3 linked regions of the Macaca mulatta genome follow. The protein of the gene in region 2 interacts with the protein of the main gene of each other region in a biochemical or structural test. Links are inferred from orthologs where the notes say so. Each region holds a gene or a part of one and is shown on either strand. Other genes may lie near its edges. The genes, in order: FRMPD4, DLG1 and MAPK12.

Region 1 (10,686 bases), on a different chromosome or scaffold from region 2:
CCCACCTCTGATTAATCCAAGCAAATGTTGGGCCTCCTAAATAGTCATTTTATAGGCTGAAACTTTTCCTACCAGTACTGCCAAGGCTGCAGACAGCTGTAGAAATCCTTCTAGAGCTAACATTCATGTGCCTCAACTCATATGTAGCCAACTGTAAACTGGTGCCAACTTCAAGTGCTCATTTTGTGTAAGGTAAAGATGTATTATTTCCATTTTACAGCTGAGGAAACTGAGTCTCAGAGAAGTTATAGGACTTGCTCTGGATCTGGTGAGCCTGAATCTTTTGTTCATGAGTACTTTCAACAGTGTTTGAAAGTGTCTGGTTTTCAGAAATGACCAAAGGTCACTTGAACCTAAGTGAAGCAAATTAAGTAGATTAAGTTTCCAACTAGTAAACCCCTACAAGATCTAGAAGGGGCCTTAGAGATTATCCAGGTTAATATGAAAACTTCAGAAAACCACATATGTACTCAGGATCCCACTTTTTTGGCTTTTATTTGTTTTAGGCAGATCTAGTTCATGCTAGGCAAACCTATCCTAACCTCTGCAGCACACACCTGGCACAGAGAGGGGACAGAGCTGAGAGACCAACTACTCCAATCTCCGTCCTTCTGCCAAGATGGCTTAAAGATATAAACACTCTGTGTTAGCATGTTTCAAGGGAGCAGCTTTTTCCATTGCTATATTAATGAGAAACAAAGGAGGAGGGGTGGAATCTCTTTGTTTTAGAAAACAATATCAATCCATTAGAAAACATACTAGATAATTACTATATGAGAGATGTGTAAAGACCTGGAGAAGTCAGTCATTTCCCTTGGTAGCTATTATGCTGTGGAGAGATGGCATCTGCACCATTCATAACTGTAGTGTACAAATTGGCACAGGGAGAAGGCCAACAGCAAGCTGTTCCAGGTAGACCAGATGTCTCGAAGGGAGGCTGTCTCTCTAGAAGTAAACACAATGTCTATTTCCTGTCACTTTCACTGTTGAATAATTAGCTATTTGGTATCTGGAATAATTATTGATAAATAGGGTAATCCTTTTAAAAAGAGCATCCCAACTGTTCTGTTCTCAGAAGGAAGAACTTTTTCAAAACACATTCTCCAAAGGCACTGTTTTTATCTCCTTTTCCCAATCATGAGCTGGTTTTGTGCTGCCAGATGTTGACTCGGAGATGAGGGAACGTGTCAGTTGCCACTCTCTTGGGGGAAAGGTAGAAAAGGTGAAGGGGGAAAATAACTGGAGAATCTAAGAAGGCCTTTGTTGCCATCATTAACAGTCAGTCCAAAGGAGGTTGAAGGATGCTGGGGAAGTAGATGGGTGGGGAGAGAGACAGACGTAAGCCATGAAGTCATACAGAGATCAGTACTCACTGGGGATGCTTGGCCAGCTTTGGTTGGGCTGTGAATCCAATGGGCATACGATTTGTTCATTCGACAAATATTTCTTAAGTTCCTTCTACATCTGGGGAAGTGGTCTAGGCATTTGGGATCCATCAGTGAAAAACAAAAACAAAACAAAAATCCCAGCCCTTGTGGAGCTCCAGTGGGAGATTCAGACCAAAAACAAAAAAAACAAAAAAAAAAAAAAAAAAAAAGGAAAGAAATCCTAAAGATAAAAATAAATTATATAGTGTGCTAGTGGGTGATAAGTGCTATGGAAACAAGAAAAAAGAATAAAACAGTTAATAGGCACTTGGAGTCCAGGATGTGAGAGCCTTTTGCAATTTTAAATAGGCTTTTTAGAGGGGGATTTTTGGAAGTGGTATTGGTGCATAGATTTGACAGGGTGGAGAAGTCAGCCATGCAGATATTCCTGGAAAGAGCATTACAGGCCGAGGGAACAACCATTGCAAAGATCCTAAAGTGGGAAGATTACCTGTAGAGTTTGAAGAACAGCAAGGAGGCCAAAATTTCTGGAGCCCAGTGAGTGTATGTGTGTGTGTGAGGGAGGGGGGCCTTGGGGTGGGGGATGAGGAGGGACGGGGGAAAAAGGGGAGAGGGAAGTGGGCAGTAATAGTTGAGGTAAGAAAGATCAAAGGATAAGGGATGTAGGGTCTTATTGGTCCTAGCAGGAGTGCAACTTCAGCTTGACGAGAATGCAGAGCTTTTGCATAGTTTACATCAGACAAGTAACATTATGTGATCTACGTTAAAAAACACACAGACACACACACACATTTTTGTCTGGTATGTTGAGAATAGATTATGGCATAAAAATAAAAGATTTCTCTTCTAAACGTATTGCCTTACTTATATGACAGGGTTGCTATGAGACTCTAATGCAAAAAAAATGCTTTAAAAATTATAAAGCATAGTGCAGATCCAAACTATAATTATTTTACAAACAACAGAGTTCAAAAGCCAAGGTCCCTCCCACCTCTTCTGATCCTTGAGTAGTAACTGCGTTCATGCAATTAAACTAGCCTATTTAAAAGAAGCTGCAGGAAAATTGATAAGTATGTATTCAAAAAAATATAATTTTATGCCTGAGTTTTAAGTCAGTTAGATTTTGCAGATTGCTATTTATTTTATGTTCAGTTTTTGAAATAAATGCTTAAAAAAAAACGCGTTAGTACTAGGCTTGAATACTGAAGACTTTAAATATAACAACAGACCAGGAGAGGAGCAGAAGTGTGGGAACTTTAAACCCATTTCTTACTTAATCCCCTCGGAGAGCTAGACTGGAACACTGGCTGGATCTTCCAACATTTCTGGGGGTGCTCTCTGTTCTTTGCAGTGGCCCTGCCGCCAGGTGAACGCTGCTGGTGGGAGAGCACACACTTAGTGCGGCCAGCTGACCTTCACAGTCTGGGGGGAAATTTTAAAGGATTGTGGACAAGAGGCCTTGAGACTCCAAGAGGAAGAAGAAAAAGGGGCCCAATGAAGCCTGAGCTTCCCAGGAGGTAGAACTGAGTTAATGAACAGGGCTGATTATCCAAGGTAATCATGTAAAAGAGAAGGCTAGGAGGAGTTCTAGATGGCTGCAACTTGGAGTTTACTCTGCCTAAGGTGAGTGTTTATGTTTCTGTGTTTTTGCTTCTCAGGCAAGGTTTTGTTAGGTTTTGTTTTGTTTTTTTTTTTTCTTCCTTGTTCCCTTCTCCCACCGCTCAGTTTGCAAAAGCAGCTCGCTCTGCGTGCCAGACCCCATTCTAATCCTTCTCTTCCCTTAGATTCCGAGCCCGGTTAGAATTAGCCTCTGCATCACAGGCTCCTGGGACCTTCTGCTCTATGCTCCTGGAGGAGGGAGCAGCTGTGTTCATCCCCCTACCCGCAAATGCCTCCGGTTCTTATTTGGCCGACACTCCCGCGGTGCTGCTGTCCAAAGACACACCTTCCCAGCCAGCCCAGTGGTCACGTCTCGCCCCAGCGGTTCGGGAGAAGCAGTGGGAACTCTGCGCTCCCCCAATCGAGCCCGCTGCGCCGGGCATCTCCCTTCCCTTCCCCTTGACAAACGACCCAGCCTCTATCATCCCTGCTCCTTCCGATCGCTAGTTTTGTTTACGGAGCAAACCGAGGCTTTGGGCAACCTGCGGTTGCACGGTTCTCCTTCGGCTTGGGGAGGGAGGGTTAGCGTTCACAGTTCTCCAGTGTGCCATAGACTGTTAGACCAGATCCTTCAGATCTGGAGGCACACGCAGTGGGTGACAGGAGAGTGCCCCCTCCCCCTGGGCTGGTGGGGGTGGGGAGAGGAGCAGGGACTCGGCTTGGAGAAGGAGGCAGGGAGGCAGCTGCAGTGCTGCGAGGGGTGCGTGCGCGTGTGCCCAGCTCGCCTGCTGTCTCCCGTTTCCCGGCTCCGTCTGCGCTCCTTGGTGCGCGGGGCACTGGGGTCCGAGGGCCGGGAAGCCAGAGCAGCGCCTCTCGCCCGGGCCTCGCTTTCTCTAGACGCCCGGCAGTACCCGGGGCCAGAGCGCACGGGGCGGGGCGCGAGACCCGGGCCGCGCTCCCAGCCCCCGCCTCTTGCGCCCTGCCTGGCTCCCTCTCCATTGAGTTTTCCTGCCGCGGGTGCTCATCAATGGTCCTGCTCGGGGATGCACACGCAGCTCGCGGCCGGAGGGTGGTAGCAGCCGCCGCCTCCAGGTGCAGGTTCTCTCCGGCCCCCGCCGCCACCCGCTGTCGCCGCGACTGGAGCCCTGGGCGCACTGAGGTCTTGGCCATGGGGCTGCGGAGGCTGCTGTTGTTGCTGGCGTGAGAAGGGGCGACGGAGTTGTCGCGCTCGGGGGTCCCCAGCTGCCTGCATGGATGTCTTCAGCTTTGTGAAGATTGCAAAGCTTTCGAGGTAGGGGCTGCGCGGGTTCCGTTTGCACCTAGGGCCGCTGCTGCGGGCAACTTGGTGCCTTATTTTTCGGGAGGCTGGGTAGAGGCAAAAGCCGGAAAGCGCGACGGGGCTTAAGACTGAAACGAAGTGGCCGGGGGCTGACACATTCAACTTATTTCTCACTGGCTGCTGAGGCTTGTGTAGCCACGGGTGTAGACCACACACAGAGAGGTACATACATGCCCTCACCAACACACCGATATTCACAACCATTTGTTTTCCCTAAGGAAAAGCCCCACTGGTGCTTGGGGTCCCATGTATCATTCAGGGCTAAGAGAAGGTGGTTGTAATTGCTACTGCTAGGGAAACCCAGAAGTGCTTGGAGCTTAGGTGCCTGCCTTCCAAGCTGCAGAGACCAAAAGTGCCGCCTTCCCCCCACTCCTAAATTACACCTCCACACCTCCACAGAGTTAGCGCCTAGGTTGACCAGGTGCTCCCAATGGTAACCTAAATGATGAGGTCATGGAGATAGAAGAGAAAGACTTTCAGCCTTTTTCTTTGTGTGTGTGTGTGACTATATTCTTAAGCCTCGAAAGATTTAGAAATTTTCTTCTAAGTGGCCATGTTGTTAAAACAGTAGCTAAAACTAAATCATCGATTCGGATATTTTTGCGTAGTACTGATAAAGGAGGAACATTTCCACGCTTGGGCCGCCTAGGTGTTGCCTGGCCAGAGCACTCCTCGAGGTCTTCTGCCTGCTTATGCTTCCAAAGTGTTCATTTGAGCCACAGAGTAAGGTCTGTGCTTCTTGCTATGTGACATTAACTGGGAAGAGCCCGATAGGAGCAGTCTTAGAAAACCATGCCCAACCTTCTCTGCCCCTGGAGCTCTTTATAGCAGCTACCACCAGGACGTAGGAGGTAGACAGTTGGGTTTTTCCAGGATGTAGCTTAAAAACTTACTTGCAATATGGACAGAACAATCCCAGGTTTTCCTTCAGTCCTGAGTGTCAGAGTGAGATGTGTTGATTGCATCAGGCAGGGATGAGCAGCTTCCAATCGTCCGAGGTAGAAACGTATGTTGACTTTGCTTTGTTAAATTACATTTAGACCACTTCAGAAAGGTTATGTTTGGATGTTGCCATTCTCTCTGACATCTACAGTCTTTGTTCTGCCTGCCCATCTCCACCTTCCCTTTCTACTAATATGGGCCGGTCTTCATGCCACTAGCAGATTTCCCCAGGGAGAAAGGCCCAGTGCAACTTACTCTAAGTAGACTGGAGATACACCGTTGATAGGTCTTAGAGCAGCTCAGGAAGAGGTGTTGTCCTACAGATTGGAAGACTGATGTGTTAAGCAGTGGATGATTGTGGTGTGGCAAATTATTTGCTTTCAAGCTGATCTCATAGAGGGCCATTGCTTCACACCACTATTCTATTAACTTCCTGCATGCTTCTGCCTAGGGCTAGTTTCTAAACAGCTGTCAAATAATGAACCATGGTTGGGAAGCAGCTGTGGGCAAGTTTAGAGACTGAGTGGAACCCTCTGTGTGATGGACAGAGCTACTGCTAAAGGGAAAGGGAAGTTCAACCAATAGTATAGTTCAAAGTAACCAGGATACTTTTTTGTGGCCTCAGATGCTAAAAACAGTTTAACAAAACATCTAGAGCCTTGGTTTAGTCCTTAAACTTAGGAACTTCGGAGAGCACAGTGTCATGTGTCAGTGAAAAGATGTTTCATATTCTTTTTACTAAATTCTAGGATGCCTACATGATATTCACAAATCTGAGTTTTTGCAAAACTCAAGCAAGGTTGTGGGGAGAGTGGTATCTTATTTAAAAGAGTTTAAAATTTAGTAAATGAATGTGAGTTTCACTTTCTATCCTTAATGTGATCCAGTAGAGTGTTTATTCTAAAGACAGAAGGTGCAAATGTTCTGAGCTGATGTGCCGATTAAGAAATCTTCCATCCATATAATTCTTCTTTTTCCTTAGTGTGAGCTCAAGGATGGTCCCCAAGCTGAGATAGAAATACCTTTAGAGGGTCATCAGCACGTAAAAACACATGTTTGCAGTTGCTTGTTTCTGCCTTGGGAGGAAGAAAGTCTTGTATGCGTTTTAAACACTGTTACAGAAATCAAGTTCTTTTCTCAAAGGTGAAGTATAAAAGTGCTTATACTGCAGGATTTTCCTGATTTCAGAATGGATAATCTTCCTAAAGGATTTAGCTTTGATCAGCATGGTTACTTGAGTGCTTAAAATTCTCTTGGTTTAGAGGCAAACACATGTAGTTACCCTGGGTCCTGGCCTTGCCTTTGGTTCCTACAAACTCGAGTTTCTAAATGTTAATTCAGAAGGCATATCTTGGAAGTGATATTTGCTTAGTGTCCTATCTGTGAGTACAGACAGTGTAATTACAGAGAATTCCAAGAGAATATTAATCGACACTGGAATAAATAAATTGCATATTTTGACTTTTTAGAGTGTCTACATTTAACTATTTGTTTCCAGACTCTATGCCCTTTTAATCGTGGGAAAAATCAGAATTCACATTGCCCCTCAATAACCCATTACCATTAAAACAAATTGCTGCCAAGTGTTAGAATTCCTGGCAAGTAGTTGGGACCCTTTACATCATCAGTAAGAGTTATGACCCTTGATTGCATCCTTCGTGGGTGGCACAGTGTGTCATGGTTCTATCTGAAGATGGTTTTTTCCGTTCTTCTAATTTTCTGGTTCTTAAACTGCTTGATAGTTTACATGCAGTTTTACTTCACTGTTTCCTTGGTAACAGTTCTATATCATTTTCCATCCTTGTAGATGAGAGCATTACAGATGATTGCTTTATAAACCAGTAATAGTATAAAAACAGGCATATATTTTTATTGTTACTGCTCTTTGCATTGACTATTTTATTTGTAAAGCAGATGCACTCTTTCAAATGTTTATAGAAGAATGCAGCCCAGTAGAAAAACATATGATTATGCCCCTTTTGCCTGAGGGAGATGATTTGAGATCCAAAACTCATAGGGATGTTATTAAATTGAGTGATATGTTCATAGATAGAGTCCCTGATTTGACTTCTTTTCTTTAAGCAAAATGGTAGACTTGATGATAATGGTTGAGTCCCCACTGTTGATATGATGATTTCTTACAGTAGTAGGTAAATTTGGGGGATGCTTTATTTTGCATTTTCTTGTAGTTGCATGGGTTATTTTGTGGTATATAGCAGTGACTAATATCTGTCATAGTAAAGAATACTAATTTTCTTACAAGTATCTTATATTTGAGGAAACATATAAAATACATATGTATAGTTTCCTTAGATTTTTATGTCAAATCCATTTAGATACTACTAAACTTCTGTCTTTTACCTTTATCTTATTCAGAATTAAATATTTTCTAGGGAAAAGGGGAAGTTAAAGAAGTAGTGCAAAAGGTCAGGGTTTTCCCGTATCTGCTATTTTTACTGAGTAATTGTATTAATATTGCTGATAATAGTGAGCTCTGGAGGCTAGCAATGAAAAACCCCCAAAGACTCTGGATTTGAATTTTATTAAAAATGCTACTTGCTCATCTTCTGAGTCCTTTCTAAGTTCTGCTGATTTTTGTGGCTGTCAGGAGGTGAAACAATGAACAGTTTCGTAACAGAACTAGATTCCTGTTTTAGGAATATTTAACTCTAGTTTCCCAAGGGTTGCTAGTTTGAAGCTGTGAAAGTCTAGTCGCTCACAGTTCTGGGAAGAAGGCGTCTAGGTCAGGCTTTGTTCCATTCCAAGCATATCTCTCTCTCTCTCTCTCTCTCTCTCTCTCTCTCTCTCTCTCTCTCTCTCTCTCATTGTCTGGGGCAAGCAAGTTTTACCTTCTTGCTATCAGAACTTGGTACAGACTGACAGCTGCAGTGAAACTTACTTGTACTTTAAATGCATGACCTGGAAAGTCTCACTTTCTGCTTATGGTCCTTCCAGCTGTTCATTCTCTCCCTTTACATACACATACACTGTTCAACTTTAGTCTTTTTTATTTCATTTGAGGTTAACCATGGAAGTTTAGCTGTAAGAGAATGTACATTATTGGTGAACTAGAAATGTATCTTTAAGGAATGAACTTGAAACCACTGGTTTCACACTTGGCTCAGTAAGAAAACTCAAGACCGTTTAAAACCTTTGTTGAAGCATACCATCCTGAAATCTACCACCATTACCATCAAATGATCTTGAATCTTGAAAGCTAATCATAGCAGGAAAAGAACATCATGAATAGGCTAAAACAGAGGTTGGCACATTGTGGCCTATGAGCCAAATCTGGCTTGCTGACTGTTATGGCATAGCCTGTGAGCAAAATATAGTTTCTTTATTTTCAAATGGTTCAAAAATATCAAAAAAAGAATAATATGAAATTAAAATTTCAGTGTCCATAAATAAAGTTTTATTGGAACACGTGTCCATTCATGTAGGTATTATCTATGGCTGCATTTGCCTGACAACAGCAAAGTTGAATAGATGCCACAGAGACCTTATGGCCCACAAAGCCTAAAATGTTTACTCTCTGGCTCTTTACAGAAAAAGTTAACTGACCCCTGCCTGGGTTAAACAATGCCTTTTCCTGTTTTCTCTTCTTTATCGTTATCAGCACACATGTGGGCACACGCATGTCAAATTGAGTATATTATAATAAATACTTGAATTCACTAATGCACATTACCAATTAATATAGACCTTATCTTTATTGAAACTTCTGATCTCAAATTACTTCTTGAACTATTGGAAACTGACCGTTAGAAGTGGACATAATTGTTCTACTAATTTGTTGCACTTGGAAAAAGTATGCATGCTTATTCTTTGGTCACTAAGTTGACATGATATTTTTGGGGAGCTGGAGAGTTGCTTGTTAGGGTGATGTTTGCCTTCCATAAACATCCAGTTCAAAATGGATGGAAAAAGAATGGGTGATACTACTTGTATAGCCTCAACCAATGTGTGCTGATGAACTGATAATCAAGTCAACGGGAGAATGCCTAGTATTTCCTTACAGTACACTTGAGCCATCTGGTCCTAATGGCTAATGACCTTCACTAATCTGTTTCCAAATGGAAATAAAACTAGATAAGTGGATTTAGTTGTAGTCAGAGGAATGGAGGTAGGCTGTATCAATTTGGAGTTGAGTTTAATCTAACTTTCCTATAATTTGACTGAGAGCATTGTAATGAAAAACCATAGACTACCTCTAGTTCTTTACAGCAAAAGCATATATCAAAAGTATGCTGCCTTGCTTCTGAGTAATTTAGGTCATTATGTACTTAAGCTCTGAAAATTATCTTGAAGAAATCTAAGCCTTAGTTTTAGATAACAAAGTTAACATTCCCATTTTTTTTTTCCTGGCAAAGAGATGAGAAGGGTTTTCTGCCAGAACTGTTCTTTCAGAAGTATATTTTCAAGTATGGTTTACAGAATTTGGCATAAGATAAATAGTCTATACTAAATAATTAGTGAGCGAAGTCATATACAATTCATTCAACATTTGTTGCAAACAAATTGTCATATTTATTTAGCTGAACAATTACTGTGTCAGTACTTCTTTATTGAATATAAAGGAATACAATGCACATGTTAAAAGTAAATAGCCTGCTCTTGGACTTGGTCTCAGAGAATAAACTTTTATTTCTGTTTTTACATTTGAAATTATATATATATGTGTATATATATATGTGTGTGTGTGTGTATATATATATATATATGATTGATGGTTAAAAAGTCATCAACTTGTGTGTCTAAGGAGTCTCTGTTTTACTGCTTTAAGCTCAACAAGCAAAGTTATGATGATATTGAAATGGGTTTTTACAGATGTCAGTAAGTTTTTATTTTAGAAAGCCTCTTTTGAATGCTAGGAAAACACAATCATTTCTGTGAAAGAAATGTTTCCAAAGTTTGAAAATGAAAAGTAATTTCCCTGCAATTACAATTTACTATAGGGTTTTAATTTTTATTTTGGTAATTTTTTATAGGCTTCACAAGTTTTACGAGATTTGCTTAATTGAAAATAATGCATGATTACCTGACAAAAATTAGGTTCAAAGAAATCAGTAGGCAAAAGTTCATAAAATTAATGGTAAAATTTTCCCAGTGAATGTAGGAATTAGTGTATTTTTCTATTGAACTGGCACAGCTATTTATCTGGTCAGAGACTGGTGTGGGGGAGAACACATGCCATCTGGCTAATTCAACATTGGATCACATACTGACTGTGGTGATTTTACAATGATTCCTGTAACTGGAGTCCTGGATATTTGTCTCTTCTGAAATTCATGATCCAAGTTACCAGTCTTTTCCCTAGTACAGGAGTGGTTAGCAGTCTCAGCTATACAGTGGTGGAGTCTGGAATTAGTTTTGGTGTAAATCCCAGACATGCCCAACTGAACTGTGGCTCAGGGT
Region 2 (10,586 bases):
CTGTGTTTTTCCTTGATACCTTTAAAACGCAACTTCTTCACTGTAATATCATAAATGTACCAACATTTAACAGCAGAAATTCAAACCTTCAGGGATTGAATAAACCACAAAATCCAGCTCTTAGAATGGGAGGAAAAGGAATTTGTATGGTAGGAAAACTATTTTCTAGGAGTCAGGAGTTAAAAGTTCTAATTCTGGCTCTGTCCCTGATTTGCAGTGTAACTTTGTTAAGACATAGGGATCTTTAGGCTTCTATTTTATCACATGTAAATTAAGAGTATTCAAGGCAGAGAATCTTAGAAGGTAACTGCTCTAATACGTTAGAAAACAATTTTTACTAATTACTAAAATTCCTTAATTGCCATCTTTGGAGTTTAAATACCATAGTGTTTAGCAAGTATTTGTTAACCAGAGTGTATTTTGCTGGAATGAGCTCTGCAGGCTTGCTTCCATTATTATTATTTGTTTTTGAGATGGAGTTTCTCTCGTTGCCCAGGCTGGAATGCAATGGTGCGATCTCGGCTCACTGCAACCTCTGCCTCCCGGGTTCAAGCGATTCTCCGGCCTCAGCCTCCCGAGTAGCTGGAATTACAGGCATGCGTTACCACGCCTGGCTAATTTTTTATTTTTAGTAGAGACAGGGTTTCTCCATGTTGGTCAGGCTGGTCTCGAACTCCCGACCTCAGGTGACACGTCTGCCTCGGCCTCCCAAAGTGCTGGGATTACAGGCGTGAGCCGCCGCGCCCGGCCTGCTTGCTTCCATTATTTATTGAAGAGCCCCAGGTAGTCACAGAACAGGAGAGCAACCAGACAGCGACAGCCAAGTCCAAGAGGCACTTTTCCTTTTGCCAACTTAAGGATATGAAGAGGCATGTTAACAAAGACAGCCTTTCAAAACATTTGAAACTGTATTATTCTCTGTGCATTACAATAATGGACTCTTTTCTTACAAACATTGTTTCAATTCTGGTTTTAAAGGATTATTTCTTGGCATGTCACCGTGGCAGGGGGAGGCTGACCTGTTTCCCACAAACAGTCTTTTCAGCTTTGACGGGAGTGACTTGTTCTATGGGTCTGTCCTTACTACTTGTATGACTTTGGGCAAGGATTTTCATCTAAGAGTCTTTCCTTATTTGTAAAGGACTGCTAAACTAATAATTTAAGTTACAGTTCTTTACACAGTACGGGGCGAAAAATGAGGCAGCCAAGTGTATTGGAAAGAATGTAGACTTGGGGCAGAGAGGCTTGGATCCAAATACTAAGCACTGCCACTTACTAGCTAAGTCATCTTGGGCAAGTGATTTAATGTAAACCTTATAGTGGGGCGAGTAACACCACCTTCTCTTTTTTTTTTTTTAATTAAGAGGTATGGGCCGGGTGCAGTGGCTCATGCCTGTAAGCACTTTGGGAGGCCGAGGGGGTGGATCACAAGGTCAGGAGTTCAAGACCAGCCTGATCAAGATGCTGAAACCCCGTCTCTACTAAATATACAAAAATTAGCCGGGTGTGGTGGTGGGCGCCTGTAATCCCAGCTAGTTCGGAGGCTGAGGCAGGAGAATCGCTTAAACTCGGGTGCCAGAGGTTGCAGTGAGCCAAGATCAAGCCAGTGCACTCCAGCTTGGGTGACAGAGCAAGACTTCGTCTCAAAACAAAAAAAACAAACAAAAAAAAACCCCACAAAAACAAAACAAAACAAAAACAAAAAACAAGATACTAAAGTGATACTAAAGTGGCTATTGCATAATACTCAGCAATTAGTAATCTCATTATTGATAATCCTGTACAAGCTAGAAAGCTGCACAATCATATATTCTTACAAAAAAATCACTTAACAAGGACATCCAGAAAACAATGTTGTGTAGATTTTAATACATAAATGGCATCCTTTTATAACCCACTTGATATTTTACAACATGTGACTATTTGGTAAATACTTCAAAACAGCTTATGCTGGGGTCTTGTAAGGCAATTTCTGAAGCTCTTGAGATTTTACAATAGTTTTCTTCTAGTATATTTCTATTTTGTTAACAACCTACAATATTTAGTGTAACAGCAATACTGTGTGTATTTCAATGTGTTAACATACTCTGTTGCCTAATGGCTCTTGAATTCAGTTATAAATTACATGATGCCTCAAATTGTTTCAAGAAAATGTTAGCTTGCAAAATATTTTTTTCTTTCAAAATTCAAGACACATTTAACATATGGATTTTACAATACAGTTTATTAGCTGTTCTCCTCTTCTTCATAAATGGAATGGATAATGTTGATAATTCTTTACAAACCAGTACTCATTTCTTTAAGAAACTGTAATGAGGAGGTTGTCAAAAACACATATTTAATAAACAACTCCAAAGAGCAATGGGAAGCCAAATATTATTATTAATATAAAGGACCAGAGAAACTGATTTCTGAAATAATTTCTACCTTTCACTAAAATTTCTTAAAATTGCTCACCATGAAGATTTGTGTAATTCTAGTGCAGAGCAGTGGATGAAGCTGTCTGAGGGGAAACACACATAAATGGGGCTTTTGCCTGCCTTCCTATTAATAAAAGGAGAACTAGAAGGAAAGGGCAAGGACCAGAATCAAACCTGATGACAAGAACAACAATAACAACAAGAAGAACAACAACAAAACCCCAGGAACCATTTGAAAACTTTTGTAGAAAAGAGGAGAATACGCCCATACTTTTACTTATAATCTAATTTCCCTAAATGTTTCTCCTCATGATCACCATGCCCCCATTTTCAGTTCACAGGATTAAGGAAGGTAAGTCTATTCAATTAATATTTAATTTAAAAACCAAACAAAAAGTTAGGAGTAGGTGGCAAAAGAAACAAAATATATTTTAAATATATATATATATATGTTTGTGTGTGTGCGCAACTATGTAAAGAAAATAATTCCCATAGTTACAGAGTTTAAAGAAAGTTTTATATATATATTTATATATATTTTATTATAACAAAATAGGCAGCTATTGTGGGTAAAATATTCAGTAAAATCTGACTCCTAAGAATACATTTTTAAGTTTTAGGCTATGAACTGGACTCCTTTCCATTGCCATTATGGTTTCTACATCACCACTGTAATGTCTGATTTATCTGTATTTATATCTAGGAAATTTTCTCAACCTTCTGTGTAAAAGGCGAACTTCCTTAGCACCTGAACATGGCCTCGATTCACAGAATGTGATGATCATTTACATATGAACAACTTTTGTAAGACACGATAGTGTTGCTCAAGTAGATTAAAAACATTAAAACGTTGTTATTCCTAGCAAATGTACTGGGAAAAAAGAACCTTCAAATAATAAAAGACTTTAAGAATGCTTAGGAAAAATGAAATCCCTTATGAAAGTTAACTCAGACATGAATTTTTAAATTAAAACATGTCTTCCTTATTTATCTATAATGAAACAATTGCTTTGATGATAGAAGCTGACTGAGAACAGGACTTGAGAGTAACACACTGGCCAAACCATGCTATTAAACTTAAGCGTGCATAGTTGCTCAAAGTCTACTAAATCACTGATTAAAACCACTTTTTCATTTGTACTGAAATTTGAAAAGAATGTATATAAAGCTTTTCCAAAAATCTCTTAAAGTTACTTTCCCTTAAACATTAAGGAATTTTACCACAATTTCTGCGTCTCCCCAAATTCTTAATAGCTGGTCAGGCCATTCCATCTTCAGTTGTGAAAAATGGCCACTAACCAATAGTGACATTAAATAATACACATGATGTAACTTGAAGGAGACACTACATGTAAAAAAATAAGCGCACCTGCAGACCATGATGTGGGATATAATTCAACATGAAATCATTATTGAAAAAAGACTCCAGAGGAAAGGGCAAAGAGATGTCAAAGAAAATGGAATTGTGGAAAAGAGAAATAGAGAAACATGAGTTTTCATAACTTTTCTTTTGCTGGAACCCAGATGTAAGAACCAGACTGTTCTTCTATGATCTGTTTCACTTGGTTGTAAATGTCTTCCAGCGTATCTCCCTGTACAATAGCTGTAACGATAGAAACAAAATCAGAAATCTCCATTAATTGTCTATTTTGTCATTACAATTATTGGTGAAATAGCAGAAACGAATATCTTTGAGAAAGTTACTCATCCAGGAAGAATCACCATTTACGCACTGTTCACTTAGAAAAAACGGCTCACTTCATTAATTTTCCTACCTGTACAGTATACAATTTTTATCTTAAAAATGGATCAAAAAGTAAGATTTGGTGATCTTTTGTTCTTTTACCATCTGAGCATATATTAGCTTTATTATTTTAAAACAAATTATTTTCTTAACTGTCCTGATTTCTCCATCACCATGTAGGACAAAGGAAACTGGCTACAATCCCACAGACAGGATGATGCAGGATAATGTTTTGTTTTATTTTTTTGGGGTAGGATCGTGGCAGAAAAGAGCTGGCTACAGATTGATGCTACTTGTTTCAGTTAAGCTGGCACGTCAGTTACTGTAGAGTAGGTGAATTACCTCAGCCAGCTTGTTAGTGTTTAGAGACTTAACAATCAATGTTTATTTGCTGCCTGAAATAATGTGTGAAAAAAAGAGTAACAATTACTAATAAGTAATTCTTTGGAAATAGCTGAAGCCCCTGAGGTCTGTGAGGGATGAGGGTCAGTTAACAAAGCAAGCAAGCAAACAAACAAAAACAAAGTATCGCTAGACAGCACTAAGCATGAGTCACTTTTTAAGAGGAAAGAAAATGTTTATGGCTGGGCATGGTGGCTCATGCCTGCAATCCCAGCACTTTGGGAGGCTGAAGTGGAGGGTTGCTTGAGGCTAGGAGTTTGAGATCAGCCTGGGGAACATAGTGAGACACTGTGTCCAAAAAAAAAAAAAAAAAAAAAAAATGAGCCGGGCATGGTGGTGTGTGCCTGTGGTCCTGGCTACGCGGGAGGCTGAGGGAGCAGGACGATTTCTCGAGCCCAGAGTTCACATCTGCAGTGAGCTATGATCGTACCATTGGATCGTACCATTTGCCTGGGTGACAAAGTGAAACCCTGTTTCTCACAAAAGAAGTTTACATATAAATGAAATAATTCAGAATTGCAAATTAAATAAGTCACTTATTAAACTACAAAAAAATCCCCAGTGATCTTGGAAGAGCATCATAGGTGTAGATTTCCATGGTCTGAAAAACTGAGCATAAAATGTCGAAGGGAGGTTTTAAATAATACTGTCTATTTGGTACCCGAGATTATGTGCATAGAAGAAAGAAGTTATATATAGGTAAGAAGGGCTTATACGTAGCTAGGAATGCCTGAGTAAACAAGAATTTTAAGTAACATAATATTCGCTAGTATCAGTTTTGTGAGACTTCTACCTTTTGAACTAAATACAGACATGCCTCAGTGTCCCTGAAGACTCAGTTCAATTGACAAAATACTTGGTTTGTGGGTTTGGCATCTTGATGCACTCCAACAGCACAGGACAGAATCCCAGAGCATTTCATAGTTTAGGTTGACAACAGCACGCAAGGATTTATTTTAGGAGAAAAGAGTCAGGAATTGACTTGGGAAATATATATTTTGCTTACTTTGTAAATTCATGAATGGCATGGTTAGTAAACCAGGATACTCCTTGGGAAGAAACTGGGAGAGCATAAGGCTGCAGACACCTTAACCATGTGATTAAAATTAGCATAACAAGCAACGGCACAAGCAGACCGTAAACCTCCTTGTATGACACACAGAGGATACATCATTACTTCACTGCTATTCCTGCCCCAAATGCACAACCTAAATCTAATTATGAGAAAACGTCAGATAAATCCAAATTGAGGGAGGACATTTTATAAAAGAGTGGGTCTCTGGCCAGGTGCGGTGGCTCACGCCTGTAATCCACCACTGCGGGAGGCCAAGGTGAAGGTGGGCGGATCAGAGGAGTTACAGACCAGCCTGGGCCAGGTGCAGTGGCTCACGCCTGTAATCCACCACTGTGGGAGGCCAAGGTGAAGGTGGGCGGATCAGAGGAGTTACAGACCAGCCTGGGCCAGGTGCAGTGGCTCACGCCTGTAATCCACCACTGTGGGAGGCCAAGGTGAAGGTGGGCGGATCAGAGGAGTTACAGACCAGCCTGGGCCAGGTGCAGTGGCTCACGCCTGTAATCCACCACTGTGGGAGGCCAAGGTGAAGGTGGGCGGATCAGAGGAGTTACAGACCAGCCTGGGCCACGTGCAGTGGCTCACGCCTGTAATCCACCACTGTGGGAGGCCAAGGTGAAGGTGGGCGGATCAGAGGAGTTACAGACCAGCCTGGGCCAGGTGCAGTGGCTCACGCCTGTAATCCCACCACCACGGGAGGCCAAGGTGAAGGTGGGCGGATCAGAGGAGTCACAGACCAGCCTGGGCCAGGTGCGGTGGCTCACGCCTGTAATCCCACCACTGCGGGAGGCCAAGGTGAAGGTGGGCGGATCAGAGGAGTTACAGACCAGCCTGGGCAACATGGCGGAATCCTGTCTCTACAAAAAATACAAAAATTAGCCGGGCATGTTGGCTGCAGCCTGTAGTCCCAGCTCCTTGGGAGGCGGAGGTAGGAGGATCACTTGAGCCTGGGAGGTGGAGGCTCCGGTGAACTGAGATTGCACCACTGCACTCCAGCCTGGGCGACAGAGTGAGACCCTGGCTCAAAAAACAAAACAAAACAAACGAAACAGAAAAAACAACAAAAAACCCCCCTAGTTTTTACTCTTAAAAAATGTCAGTCAAGGTCATGAGTGACAAGACTTGGGAACTATTTCAGATTAAAGAACGTTAAAGATGTGTAATTCACTGGAACACGTGAGCCTGAACTGCATCTTGCACTGGAACAGAAAAACCATTTTGTTCCCATTTTGCTCTAAAGAGATTAGAAGAATAGTGAAATAATAATAAGATCTATAGTTAGATGAGACATAATTATTAAATTTCCTGATTTTGGTAATAAAACTATGATTATATAAGGGCATATCCCTGTTTTTTGGAAAATACACACTGAAATATTTGGAAGTAAAGGGGCATCTACCTGAAACTTACCCTCAAGTGCTTCAGAAAAAATTATAAATGTGGTAAAATGTTAACACTTGAGGAATTTGGGTGAAGGGTACATGAGACTCCCTGTACTATTCTTCTAACTTCTATTTAAGTCTGAAATTAGTTTGAAAAAAATAAGAAAGCACAAGGCTTACAAAAACCATGACCCTTACTGATACTCACTGTGAATGTCAAATTTAGGCTGATATTATTTCAAACAAACAAGTAACAACAACAAAAATGTCCAAAGACTTGAGGAGTCAGTTAAAGGACAAACTGAGTAAGAAAAGAATATTGGGGAATTGCTACCTACTCTTTTTTTTTTTTTAAACAAATAGTATTTCAAAACGGATCAAAGGGCAACTAATCTTTGACAAGGGGCCAAGAACACACAATGGGGAAAGGCTAGTGTTTTAAATACATGGTGTTGGAAAATCTGGATATCCACATGCAAGAGAATGAAATTAAACCCTTATCTTACACAAAATTAACTTGAAATAGATTAAATACTTAAATGTAAAACCAGAAACCATAAAACTCCTAGAAGAAAACAGGGAAAAAAGCTCCTTGACACTGGTCTTGGATGATTTTTGGAAAGTACAAGCAGCAAAATAAAAAAATCATCAAGTGGGACATCAAATAAAAAATCTACACAGCAAAGGAACAATCAACAAAATGAAAAGGCAACCTATGGAAGAGGAGAAAATATTTCTAAACCATGCAGTTGATAAGGGGTTAATATCCAAAATATATAAGAAACTCATTAGCAAAATACCAAACAATCCATTTTAAAAACGGGCAAAGGACTGGAATAGATATTTATCCAAAGAAGACATACAGATGGCCAACAGGTATCAGTAAAAGTGCTCAACCTCTTTAGTCATCAGAGGAATAGAAATCAAAATCATGAGGCCGGGCGCAGCGGCTCACGCCTGCCATCCTAACACTTTGGGAGGCTGAGGTGGGTGGATACTTGAGGCCAGGAGTTTGAGACCAGGCTGGCCAACATGGCAAAACCCTGTCTCTACTAAAAACACAAAAATTAGCCGAGTGTGGTGGTGCGTGCCTGTAATCCCAGCTATTCAGGAGGCTGAGGCACGAGAATCACTTGAACCCAGGAGGCAGAGGTTGCAGTGAGCTGAGATCATGCCACAGCCTGGGTGACACAGCAAGACTGACACACACACACACACACACACACCACAGCCTGGGTGACACAGCAAGACTGACACACACACACACACACACACACACACACACCACAGCCTGGGTGACACAGCAAGACTGACACACACACACACACACACACGCACACACCACAGCCTGGGTGACACAGCAAGACTGACACACACACACACACCACAGCCTGGGTGACACAGCAAGACTGACACACACACACACACACACACACACACACACACACACAGCAAGACACACACACACACACACACACACACACACACACACACACACACACACACACACACACACACACACACACACACACACACACACACCCCATAATGAAATATCCCCTTAGACCTGGTTGGATGGCTGTTATCAAAAAGATAAGAGATAACAAGTAGGCAATGGCATGGAGAAAAGGGAACCCCATACACTGTTGGTGGAATGTAAATGAGTAAAGCCATCATAGAATGTAAATGAGTAAAGCCATCATAGAATGTAAATGAGTAAAGCCATCATAGAAAACAGTGTGGACATTTCTCGAAAAAAAATTTTTTTTTTTGAGACGGAGTTTCGCTCTTGTTGCCTAGGTTGGAGTAAAATGGCGTGATCTCGGCTCACCGCAACCTCCGCCTCCTGGGTTCAAGCAATTCTCCTGCCCCAGCCTGCCAAGTAGTTGGCATTACAAGCATGCACCACCACACCTGGCTAATTTTGTATTTTTAGTAGAGATGGGGGTTTCTCCATGTTGGTCAGGCTGGTCTCGGACTCCCAACCTCAGGTGATCCGCCCACCTTGACCTCCCAAAATGCTGGGATTACAGGCATGAGCCACCGTGCCCGGTCACCTCAAAAAATTAAAGACTGAACTATTATATGACCTAGCAATCCCACTACTGGGTATATATATCCAAAGGAAAGGAAATTGGGCCAGGCGTGGTGGCTCACGCCTGTAATTCCAGCACTTTGGGAGGCTGAGGCAGGCGGATCACTTGAGGTCAGGAGTTTGAGACCAGCCTGGCCAACCCTGTCTCTACTAAAAATACAAAAATTAGCTGGGTGTGGTGGCATGTGCCTCTAGTCCCCACTACTTGGGAGGCTAAGGCAGGAGAATCAGCTGAACCCAGGACGCGACAGTTGCAGTGAGCCGAGATCACACCACTGCATTCCAGCCTGGGCAACAGAGCGAGACTGTCTCAAAACAAAACAATAAAAACAAACAAACAAAAAGCCAACAACAACAAACCCAAAGGAAAAGAAATGGGTATGTTGAAGAGAAATCTGCAGTCCTATGTCCACTGCAACATAATCAACAATAGCCAAGATAGGAAAATAACCTAAGAGTCTCTCAAAAGATGAATGAGCCAGGCCCGGTGGCTCACGCCTGTAATCCCAGCACTTTGGGAGGCCGAGGCGGGCAGATCACCTGAGGTCAGGAGTTTGAGACCAGCCTGACCAACATGGTGAAACCCTGTCTCTACTAAAAATACAAAATTAGCCGGGCGTGGTAGCACATGCCTGTAATCCCAGCTACTCAGGAGGCTGAGGCAGGAGAATTGCTTGAACCTGGGAGGTTGTGGTGAGCTGAGATCACGCCACTGCACTCCAGCCTGAGCAGCAAGAGCAAAACTCCATCTCAAAAAAAAAAAAAAAAAAAAAAAAAAAGTTGAATGAATAAAGAAAGTATTGTAGGCCAGGTGCAGTGCACCTATAATCCAAGCACTCTGGGAGGCTGAGGAAGGACAATTGCTTGAGCCTAAGAGTTTGAGACCAGCCTAAGCAACATAGTGAGACCCTGTCTCTACAAATAAAAAATTAGCCAGGTGTGGTGCTGCACGCCTGTAGTCCCGGCTACTAAGGAAGCTGAAGAGGGAGAATTGCTTGACCCCAGGAGGTTGAGCCTGCGGTGAGCCATGATCACGGCACTGTACTCCAGCCTGGGCAAGAACAAGACCCTGTCTCAGAAATGAACAAAAAAACCAAAAACAGGCCGGGCGTGGTGGCTCATGCCTGCAATCCCAGCACTTGGGGAGGCTGAGGCAGGTGGATCACGAGGTCAGGAGTCGAGACCATCCTGGCTAACACAGTGAAACCCCGTCTCTACTAACAAATACAAAAAATTAGCAGGGCGTGGTGGCGGCGCCTGTAGTCCCAGTCACTCGGGAGGCTGAGGCAGGAGAATGCCGTGAACCCGGGGGGCGGAGCTTGCAATGAGCCAAGATCGCGCCACTGCACTCCAGCCTGGGCAACAGAGTGAGACTCTGTCTCAAAAAAAAAAAAGAGAAGCCGGGCGCGGTGGCTCACGCCTGTAATCCCAGCACTTTGGGAGGCCGAGGCGGGCGGATCACGAGGTCAGG
Region 3 (10,586 bases), on a different chromosome or scaffold from region 2:
GGGGCAGAGGGCCCTAGCGATCCTGTTACCCACCAGCCCAGTGGGCTCCCGGGGTGCACCCACATCCCTCCTCAGACCCAGGTTTCTGGACTGCGGTGGGGGTGTCAGGGTGGGGCTTCGCCCACCAGAGCATCTGGTCTAGGATGGGGCCAGACATATGGGAGGATAATGCCCACACAGAGGGGTCAGGCTGAGGGCCCCAGCAGGTCCCCATCCCTGCTGGAGACAGTGCAGCCACCCTCAGCCTGGGTTTTGCAGGACAGGACAGGCAGGGATGGGACGGGCAGGGGCACCAGCACTTGCAACACTTGCAGCAGTCACCCCGCAGATGGGGGGAGCAGGGGGAGGAGTTGGGTGTCCAAAAGGGCCCTCGGGGACCTATGGGACTGAGAGGCCCGGGGTCAGTGGCCACAGGGGTGGGGTTGGGGATGCAGCCTGAGGATTTTGGGAGACAGACCCCTCCGTGTAGAAAGAGGGATACAGGCAAGACAGGTGCAGATGGACCCCCCATTCGGGGATGGATGGATCAGGCGCAGAGGTAGGGCATCCTTGGGGGTGGCGTGGGAAGTTGACTCTAGGTACACAGGGCTCAGCCCAACTTGGGACTGCCGATAGAAGTCAGCGCTCAGGCTGTCAAGGATGGGCCCTGCGCCCTGGAACCATGGGCAGTCAGGACTGGAGCCCAGGGTCTCAGCAGGAGCTCCCCACTCCCCCGGCTCCACCCCCAGAGCGGGGCAGTTCAGCCAAAGGGGAGAGGCTGACAGGGGTATCTCCGCGCCGCGTCCGGCCCTAGGTCGGAACAAAGCTGCGGGGCGGCGCTCCCCTCCCCCTGCGCTTCCCCCCAGGCTCCGGCCCTCCCCCGGCGGCGGCCGCCTCGGGTTTCCGGAGGGGCCGGAGGGCGGGCGAGGGCGTCACGTGCGCGCCGCCCGCGGGCCGGTTGGTCCCCGGGCGGGGGAGGGGCCGTGCGCTGCCTGGGTCGGGGTCGGGCCAGGGTCGGCACCTGGGACATCCCCGAGGGAAGGGCCGGGAACAGGAGCGTCCCAGCGGCGGGCGGGCGAGCAGCGCGGAGTCGGCCCGGGGCGCACGCCGAGGAAGCCCCGCCGATCCCAGGTCCCCGGTCCTGGGGCACCGCCCGCGGGCTCTGCGGGGTGGGCGGCTCCCGGGCCTGCCATGAGCTCTCCGCCGCCTGCCCGCAGTGGCTTTTACCGCCAGGAGGTGACTAAGACGGCCTGGGAGGTGCGCGCCGTGTACCGGGACCTGCAGCCCGTGGGCTCGGGCGCCTATGGCGCGGTGTGGTGAGCGCGGGGCGGCCGGCGGGGCGGGCGGGGCCTGCGCGGGGTGCCCGGCCTTCCCGCTAAGCGGTCCGCCCCGCAGCTCGGCCGTGGACAGCCGCACCGGCGCTAAGGTGGCCATCAAGAAGCTGTACCGGCCCTTCCAGTCGGAGCTGTTCGCCAAGCGCGCCTACCGCGAGCTGCGCCTGCTCAAGCACATGCGCCACGAGAACGTGAGTCGCGCGACCCCGCTCCGGGAAGGCGCCCCGGCCTCGGCTGGGTTCGGCTGGGCTGGGTCCCTCCACCCGGCAACCCCTTCCCCAGGCAACCTGCTGTGGGGCGGGGCGGGGGTCGGGCCGTGGGCCCCCAGGGGAGAAGGAGAGCAAGGAGACGACTCCCCCAAGGGCCATTCCCCCTCCTCTGCCAGGCCCGGGAAAGAGCCCCTTGACTTGGCGTCTCAGCCAGGCCCTGGTCAGGGGACACGACTTGGCCAGGCCCAGGGGATCCTCCAGGTCTCACGCCAAACCCTGCCCCCAGCCAGGAAGCCCGCGGTGAGAGGATGCTCCCGGCAGGAGGATTTTCCTGGAAGGGGCACCTTCTCTTTCCCATCCGGGCCCCTCTCCAGCCCCTCTGTGGAGCCCACTTTGTTGCTGTCCATCTCCCGAGTCTTCCGACCCGGTGGAGGGGGAGGAGGGGGGCGCCAGAACGTAGGGAGTATGGTGAACCCTGGGGGTGAGTGAAGGGTTCAGGGAGCTGCTGTTTGGGGGGCACTGGGCGTGGTGGTCATCTCACAGACACCCTCCCTTTCGTTGTGGGGGCCCATCCTTTCCAGTCCTGCCTGTGAGATGCCATGCACAGCTGCCCTGGGCCTCTCCCACGGAGTGGCTGGCTGCGAAGAGCCGGACTTCTCTGCCAGGGGCCCTCTGGTTTCTGGACACAGTCCCACTTGTCCACTGCCCCCCATGTCACTCCTGCCCTGCCCCTGGTCTGGGCCCAGCCTGAAGGCAGGTGGCCTGGGCGCCCGGACCCTAGCTCCAGTGTGAGATGCTCTGGACCCTCCTGGGTCATCCGAGCCACCGGTGCCCTGGGAGAATGAGTCCCTGCGTCCACCAGCAAACCACCCGCCCCCTGGTTCCTGGCCACCGCCACTCTCTCAGCCCCTTGGGTGGGTCCTTTTCTCTGAGGCTTCCCATAGCCCACCCTGACCCCAGCTCACCACCCCGGGCCCTGTGAAATCTGTTTGCGGTGGACACCAACCTTGCCCCCACCTCGACACCCCCGTCACACCCGGCCCTGCCCCCACCTTGCCACCACTGCACTCCCCCATCCCGCCCGTCACACCGAGACCTTGCCCCAGGACTGTAGCCTTCCCCTCGGCCCCCTGCCCCCACCCACCCACTCACTCACCTGCTTGGGCCTTGCCCCATCCAGCCAAGTGCTCTGGGGCTTTTCTTTCTTCTTTTTTTTTTTCTTTTGAGATGGAGTTTCGCTCTTGTTGCCCAGGCTGGAGTGCAATGGCATGATCTCGGCTCACCACAACCTTTGCCTCCTGGGTTCAAGTGATTCTCCTGCCTCAGCCTCCTGAGTAGCTGGGATTACAGGTCCATGCCACCATGCCTGGCTAATGCTTTGTATTTTTAGTAGAGACGGTGTTTCATTATTTTGGGCAGACTGGTCTCAAACCCCTGACCTCGAGTGATCCGCCTGCCTCGGCCTCCCAAAGTGCTGAGATTACAGGCCTGAACCACCGCGCCCGTCCACTGGGGCTTCTCTTTTTTGAGATGGGGTCTCCCTCTGTCGCCCAGGCTGGAGTGCAATGGCGCGATCTGTGACCTCCACCTCCTGGGTTCACACAATTCTCCTGCCTCAGCCTCTCTAGTAGCTGTGACTCTAGGCACCCACCACCACACCCGGCTAACTTTTTGTATTTTTAGTAGAGACAGAGTTTCACTATGTTGGCCAGGCTGGTCTTGAACTCCTGACCTCGTGATCCGCCTGCCTTCGCCTCCCAAATTGCTGGGAGTGCAGCCGTGACCCACCGCGCTGGGCTTTTCTTTAGCCACCGCCCTGCTGTCCTGGGGTCCCCGCTGTGCCTGGGGGTCCACCCCCTGGGCTCCCGGCCTGCAGCTGAGGCTCCTTCCCTGGAACCCCATCTTCCTGGAAGACTGAAGCTCTGTGAGGCCACATGCCTTGCTCAGCGGGGGAGGAGGCTCTGCCACAGGCCCCAGTCCTGCCATCCCCATGCCACCTCCCTCTCCAGGCCAGCCCCCACACCACAGAGGCCAAGCCAAGTCCTATGGCCCCTAGCCCACAGGACCCTGCTTTCCATCTTCTGCCAAAGCGCTCTCCTGGGCACCCTCCAGCTGTCGTGTCCACAGACCCCACTGTTCCCAGGCCTCCCTGGACGGGCCTCTGTTCCTTCTCCTCCTCCCTCCACATTCTTGCCCATGGCTCTGGCAGAGCTGTCCTTCCAGTTTAGGTCCATTCTTGCTTCACTCTGGCCAGTCCCTACACCACGGCCAGCAGGACGCGTTTAGCATCACACCCATTTAAATCCTTCCCTGTCTCTTGGGATCAAAGCCAAACTTTCACCTGGTGTGTGCTGCCCTGCCGGCTCCCTCTGGCCTCTCCTCAGCCCCTCCCTGGCCTGGGCCTTGGCCACCTGGCCTCCCTCCCTGTGTTCCTCAAACTCTCCCAAGTGTTCTCCCTCTTGCCTTGGCCACTCTGCATGTGCCCTCTGCCGGGTGTCCCGCAGCCCACATGTCTACCTGCCCCTCCATCCTTGGCTGTGCAGAACTTCTCCGGGCCTCCCTGGGACCCTGTCACCCCAAAATGCTGAGGCAGCAGTTATCACATGACCTGTCCACTGTCCATCTCCCCAACCAGGGGTGCTGTGGGGACCAGGTCTGGCGGGTCATGGTGCTGTCCACCTGGGCCTCACCAGCAGAGGCCTGGCCTCTCCTCATAGCACTATCCCTTCCCTGGGTGTCAGTCTGCTTGGTTGGGGAGAAGAGGGGAGAAAGGGGCAAGTGGTAGGAGCCCTTTGGATGGTTCAGAGCCAGCCCAGACTCCGGGTTGCCCTTCCCCCAGAAGATCCCGGCTGTCACCATCCAAAAATAACCTGTCTGTGGGTATGTGTGCCAGGGCTGGGCCACGCTGCCAGTGGGCAGAGCCAGGCCCTTTGGACAGTGGGGCATGACGACAGCTGCAGAGGGGGTTTCCTGCCCAGAGGGCTGTGCCACTCTTGGGGGGGGCCCCAGCCCGTGTCCTCCGCTGCACTCTCAACCCTACCTGGCCCCCCAGGTGATTGGGCTGCTGGATGTGTTCACTCCTGATGAGACCCTGGATGACTTCACAGACTTGTGAGTGCCGACCTGGGCTGGCTGCTGGGCACAAGGGGTGGTGGGCAGCTCTGGGCACTGGCTTCAGGTTCCAGGTTGGCATGGGGTTCTCTTCCTGTAGCCTGAGTGGGGGATGCACACTGCCAACCCCCCCCATACTACTCTGCCCCACACCCTCCCCCACATGGTCCTGGGACCCACAGCTGGGCAGAGCTGGGGCTGCTGCCTCCCTTCACGCCTGGCACCTGGGCTCTCCGGCACCGGAGGTGTGAACCTTGGACCTGACCATTAGTTAACAGGAAGGTCCCGTGCTCGGGACCCTGGCACCAAGTGTGTGGCCGGTAACTGGAGCTGCTGACCTTTCCCAGCAGGTGGGGGAGAAGCGGTAGGGAGGACCCACCCTGCCCTTGCCCTGCAGCCGACCACCCCGGGACTCACACCTTGTCGGCCAAGAGTGAAGGGCCAGGCTGAGGAAGGCCTGGAGAGGGTAGCAGATGTCTCCCGCCTGACTTGCAGAGGTCAAGGACCCACGCTGGCCTCAGTGGCCTCTGGGGAGGTGCTAAATACCATTCTCCTGTGTCCGTCTCCACCGGCTCAGCCAGCCCCTCTGACCCAGATGCCTTGCCTTGCCCCCATCGCCCCCAGGCACCTCCCTCATCTCTGGCACAAAGTTCCGAGGTTGAATCCTGACTGCCTCCCTCCCCTGCCTGTGAAGACTCGAGCCCTGCAGCCTCAGCCCCAGCCTGGCACGCAGGGCGCTTTAGCAGAGGGTTCAAAAACCCCAAAGGGAGGCCGGGGCGGTGGCTCAAGCCTGTAATCCCAGCACTTTGGGAGGCCGAGACGGGCGGATCACGAGGTCAGGAGATCGAGACCATCCTGGCTAACACGGTGAAACCCCGTCTCTACTAAAAAATACAAAAAACTAGCCAGGCGAGGTGGTGGGCGCCTGTAGTCCCAGGCTGAGGCTGAGGCAGGAGAATGGCATGAACTCGGGAGGCGGAGCTTGCAGTGAGCTGAGATCCAGCCACTGCACTCCAGCCTGGGGGACAGAGCTAGACTCCATCTCAAAAAAAGCAAAAACAAAAACCCCAAAGGGCAGCCTCCTGCCTGTCTGACAGTCCTCAGAGTGGGAGGGAGGTGTGAGCGTTGCTGGCAGTGACAGTTGGGGCAGGATGGAGCCTGGCACTGCAAGGTGGGGTTGTGAGGATGCCGAGGCTAGTGGAGACGGGTGCTGCAGGGTAACCTTCCCGGGGCCACCTGCTGGATCCCGGATGGGTCTGAGCCTGGGCCTGCTGGGTAGGCCTCTGGGATGCAGAGGCTGGCTCTGCCCACTGATGGTGCTCCGGCCCCTCCCACAGTTACCTGGTGATGCCATTCATGGGCACCGACCTGGGCAAGCTCATGAAACATGAGAAGCTGGGCGAGGACCGGATCCAGTTCCTCGTGTACCAGATGCTGAAGGGGCTGAGGGTATGGCCCCAGGGGAGGCTGCAGGGAGGCAGGCAGGGCCTCGGGGCTGGGCAGAGGAGGGCCCTGTGGCTCTGAGGCCCTGGTACGCTGAAACCTGCCGAATCTTCTGTCCCCGCAGTATATCCATGCTGCCGGCATCATCCACAGAGTGAGTCCTGGTGGAGGAGCCACCCATCAGCCCTCCCCCAGCGCAATCCCCCGCCTCCACGTCCTACCTGTGAGGGTCTGACAGGGTCTGGGGGGGCTGACGGGGTCTGGGGGTGCTGAGCCACGCCTCAGGCACAGCCCCTGGTGGGAGCCTGCCTGGATGCCCAGGTACCTGGGTCTGTCCTTGAAGGGCTGCAGGGAGCAAGGGGGCCAGGTCTGGTGGCCCCATTTTTAGGTGCCACCCAGGCTCTTGGCTGTGTCCATGCTCGGGAGGGTGGGGCACAGTGGCCACCTTTCCTCTGTCCCCAGGACCTGAAGCCTGGCAACCTGGCTGTGAACGAAGACTGTGAGCTGAAGGTGTGTGCCGCCTGGCAGGGGCCCCTCCGGATCTGCCCACCAATCCACCTGTCAGGCCTGGGCAGGGGGCCAAGGCCCCAGGCTCTGGGCAGTGGCTGAGGAGCTGGTGGGTGGGTGAGCCCCAGGAGGCAGTGGTATGCCACATGCCATACCTGCAGCGGGTGAGGGTGGGAGGCGCCCCCAGGCCCCTGCCTGGTCCAGGACAGGGCTGAGGCTTTGGTGGGCAGCAGGTGACAGCAGGGAGAGGGGAGCCCCAGGGCCCCTGCTCCATCCCAAGGGCAGCTGGGCTCGGTGCACTGGCCAAAGGGAGGAGCTTGCACAGTTTGGGGTCTGAGGGCTTGGCCTCAAGTCCTCAAAGGTTGTCAGGAGGCCCCAGCTTGGGGCTTCGAGTCCAACCCCGCTGGGGTCTCCTGGACCATGGGTGGCCTGTCCGCTCCTTGGGAGTCCCCTAGAACCCACCTCCCCGATTCTTCCCGCAGATCCTGGACTTTGGCCTGGCCAGGCAGGCAGACAGCGAGATGACTGGCTATGTGGTGACCCGGTGGTACCGGGCACCCGAGGTCATCTTGAATTGGATGCGCTACACGCAGACGGGTGAGAAGCTGCCTAGAGATTTGGGCCTCTCGGGCTGCTCCATCTGCTTCTCTACTTCTTCACTGAGAGCCCTGTGGTGGCTGCTCCCCAGGGAGGCTGTTGAGCTGGGGTGGGAGCCGGGTGGGTGGGCTGTGTCTGTGTTTCCTCCCTCCCCATCTCATCCCGTCCCCCTGCCCACGGGGCTGACCATGGCTTTTATCTCAGTGGACATCTGGTCTGTGGGGTGCATCATGGCGGAGATGATCACAGGCAAGACGCTGTTCAAAGGCAGCGACCGTATCCTCCAGCAGCACCAGGGGCGGGTGGGGATGGCTCCTGCCCAGGTGGGGGGTTCTGGGGGGGTGGGGATGGCTCCTGCCCAGGTGGGGGGTTCTGGGGTTGGGGATGGCTCCTGCCCAGGTGGGGGGTTCTGGGGGTTGAGGATGGCTCCTGCCCAGGTGGGGGGTTCTGGGGTTGGGGATGGCTCCTGCCCAGATGGGGGGTTCTGAGGGGGTGGGGATGGCTCCTGCGCAGGTGGGGGGTTCTGGGGGTTGGGGATGGCTCCTGCCCAGGTGGGGGCAGTGAGGGCCCTGATCTCTGGCCCCCCGAGCTGTGCTCCTGACCTCAGTGCAGACCTGGACCAGCTGAAGGAGATCATGAAAGTGACAGGGACGCCTCCAGCTGAGTTTGTGCAGCGGCTGCAGAGTGATGAGGTCAGTGGTGAGTGGGGAGCTGGGTGGGGGTGGGGGCGGACCCGGGCCTCGGTGTTGGCCCCTCACCCTTTCTTTCCACATAGGCCAAGAACTACATGAAGGGCCTCCCTGAGTTGGAGAAGAAGGATTTTGCCTCCATCCTGACCAATGCAAGCCCTCTAGGTAGGGCTGGCTAGTGTGGGGGCCACCAGGTGCTGGAGTGTGGGGCTTCCCGCAGTCTGGCCTGACGCACCTTCCCCCGCAGCTGTGAACCTCCTGGAGAAGATGCTGGTGCTGGATGCGGAGCAGCGGGTGACGGCAGCCGAGGCACTGGCCCATCCCTACTTCGAGTCCCTGCACGACACGGAAGATGAGCCCCAGGTCCAGAAGTATGACGACTCCTTTGATGACGTGGACCGCACGCTGGATGAATGGAAGCGTGAGCTGGGGGCTCCGGGCAGGGCCTGTGTGGACCCGAGTTGGGGGCTCTGGGCAGGGCCTGTGTGGACCTGTGAGTGGGGGGGCTCTGGGCAGGGCCTGTGTGGACCCGTGGGTGGCGGGCTTCGGGCAGGGCCTGTGTGGACCCTGTGGGCCCTGTGCAGGTAGCCAGGCTCCGAGTCCTAAATCCCCGTCCCTGGGATGCAGGTCAGGTGAGGAGAATGGGAGGTCAGAGGGCAGCATGGGGCCGCGTGGCCTGGTGGAAATGACCTCTGGCTGGAGCTGAAAGATGAAAGGAGGGTGTTCCTGGCAGGCTCAGCACAGAGGCTGGCACAGAAGGAGCCGGGAACGGTGAAGGGCAGCTGTGAGTCCGGGCAGCAGGGCCCACTGAGCCCCTCCTGGCCCCAGACCTGCTGCCCTTCCGCCATGTCCAGGCCAGAGACCCGGGCCACCGTGCCACCCTCACCATGTCCATTTGTCCCTAAGGCCTCTCTCCTCACATCTCGTGAATCTGTCCTTGCCTCTCCTTGCCCCAGGTGTTTTTTTTTTTTTTTGAGACAGTCTCGCTCTGTTGCTCAGGCTGGAGTGTGGTGGCATGATCTTGGCTCATTGCAAGCTCCGCCTCCCGGGTTCACGCCATTCTCCTGCCTTAGCCTCCCGAGTAGCTGGGACTACAGGTGCCCGCCACCACGCTCGGCTAACTTTTTGTAATTTTAGTAGAAATAGGGTTTCACCGTGTTAGCCAGGATGGTCTTGATCTCCTGACCCCATGATCCGCCCACCTCGGCCTCTCAAAGTGCTGGGATTATAGGCGTGAGCCACCGCGCCCGGCCCTCTCTTTGGTCCATTTTAGGATCCTTCCCATCTGGACAAGACATGTATGTCTTATATACGCAAGATAGTCCCCAGGGCCTCACCTGTCTCCCCCAGCCCCCCTGAGCAGTCCAGACCCCAACCCTAACTACTAGGGTCCATCATCCCCTATACCAGGGGCTATCCCCTCATCTTGGAGGGCTGGCCAAGGCCTGTGCAGCCTCAGGCTGAACTCAGGGAAGCCTCCCCAGCTCCCACAGCTATGCTGTGGCCTGAGGCTATGCTGGACCTGGCTTCATTTTTGCTCCAGAATGGCAGGCTGTGTCTTCTTCATGGCTGCATGACCAACCTGTGGTGGGGGTGCCCGGGGACAGCAGGTGGACACTGGGAGCAGTGCCGTGTTTCAGGCCCTGTCCTGGCTCTGCCTTGGGCGCAGGGCCTTGGTCCTCCACACTGGCTGGGTGGGGCTGGATGGACTGAGATTCTTCACCTGTGCTCCTTAGGGCCACGGGTCCCTGGGTGCCTGCAGCAGGGCCTCCACCCTTCGCTGTGTGTGCTTAGTTGTGTGCTTATGAGTTTGGCTTTGATTAAAGGTTTCTCCTGCTAAAAAGATAACTTGAAAACCATGGGCCATAGGATCCTCTCTGTAGTCTCCACCCACACAACTGTAGCTGGGGCCTCAGCTCTTAGGACAGACCGTGGTGGACACGTGGCCAAGCCCTGGCCACCTCCCCTTTCCCTGGAAAATCCGGATCTAGAGCAATGGCCTCTTCACACAAACCTTCTCTCAGTAGTTTGGACCACATTAGGATTAGAGAAGGGCCCCACGAGGCACCGCCAGGCGTGTCTGTGAGTGACACCCCAGGATGGAAGGCAAAGGCTGACCCTGGTTTCTGTTGTGCCCCCCGCCCCCGCCAGGTGTTACTTACAAAGAGGTGCTCAGCTTCAAGCCTCCCCGGCAGCTGGGAGCCAGGGTCTCCAAGGAGACGGCTCTGTGAAGATCTCTGAGCTCCAGGGTGGTAGTGAGGACCACCTTCACCTTCCACCTGAGAGGGGACCCTCGTTGCCACCTTGACCTTGGCTGGGGCTTGCATCCCAAGGCATCCGTCGGAGCAGACCCCTGGGTTCCATGGACCCTCCTCCCCATGCCCCTGCCTCTGCTCTCGGGTGCCCATCCTGGAGGAGCACCTGAACTTTCTGGACAGGACCTCTGGCCGACCTGGGGATGGCCTCTGATGCCTGGAGCCGGGGCCCCCTTGCCCGGTGCCCTCAGAAACCTCGGAGCTGGTGGGGCTCCAGGTCAGGCCCTGGCCTCTGAGCCCTGCCTGCTCTGGGCCATGCGGAGGAAGAACAGAGGGTGGGCGCAGGGCACCAACTCAGGGACATCCCTTCTCCTGGGCGACGTCACTGGACCTTCCTGCACCCCTGCCTGGAATGTAAATCAGCTGTGTGGCGCCCACGTGGCTGGAATGAAATAGACCCTT

Evidence for each region.
Region 1: the proteins of DLG1 (region 2) and FRMPD4 interact in a test that uses a peptide from one of them, tested with the Homo sapiens proteins (2 studies listed by IntAct, with this or other methods). The link is inferred for Macaca mulatta from reciprocal best matches to the Homo sapiens genes DLG1 and FRMPD4.
Region 3: the proteins of DLG1 (region 2) and MAPK12 interact in a test that uses a peptide from one of them, tested with the Homo sapiens proteins (2 studies listed by IntAct, with this or other methods). The link is inferred for Macaca mulatta from reciprocal best matches to the Homo sapiens genes DLG1 and MAPK12.

What each region holds. Positions count from the first base shown.
Region 1 is NC_133426.1:11,756,334-11,767,019, forward strand, and holds the start of FRMPD4 (FERM and PDZ domain-containing protein 4), read left to right. Parts: upstream 1-3,734; 5' UTR 3,735-4,237; coding exon 4,238-4,278; intron 4,279-10,686. UniProt on the Homo sapiens protein: Positive regulator of dendritic spine morphogenesis and density. Required for the maintenance of excitatory synaptic transmission. Binds phosphatidylinositol 4,5-bisphosphate.
Region 2 is NC_133407.1:2,595,397-2,605,982, forward strand, and holds the end of DLG1 (disks large homolog 1), read right to left. Parts: intron 4,024-10,586; coding exon 3,917-4,023; 3' UTR 3,166-3,916; downstream 1-3,165. UniProt on the Homo sapiens protein: Essential multidomain scaffolding protein required for normal development. Recruits channels, receptors and signaling molecules to discrete plasma membrane domains in polarized cells.
Region 3 is NC_133415.1:1,185,585-1,196,170, forward strand, and holds the start of MAPK12 (mitogen-activated protein kinase 12), read left to right. Parts: upstream 1-898; 5' UTR 899-1,170; coding exon 1,171-1,295; intron 1,296-1,374; coding exon 1,375-1,504; intron 1,505-4,574; coding exon 4,575-4,633; intron 4,634-5,970; coding exon 5,971-6,082; intron 6,083-6,200; coding exon 6,201-6,299; intron 6,300-6,538; coding exon 6,539-6,586; intron 6,587-7,065; coding exon 7,066-7,180; intron 7,181-7,384; coding exon 7,385-7,456; intron 7,457-7,792; coding exon 7,793-7,872; intron 7,873-7,955; coding exon 7,956-8,034; intron 8,035-8,116; coding exon 8,117-8,290; intron 8,291-10,020; coding exon 10,021-10,100; 3' UTR 10,101-10,586. UniProt on the Homo sapiens protein: Serine/threonine kinase which acts as an essential component of the MAP kinase signal transduction pathway.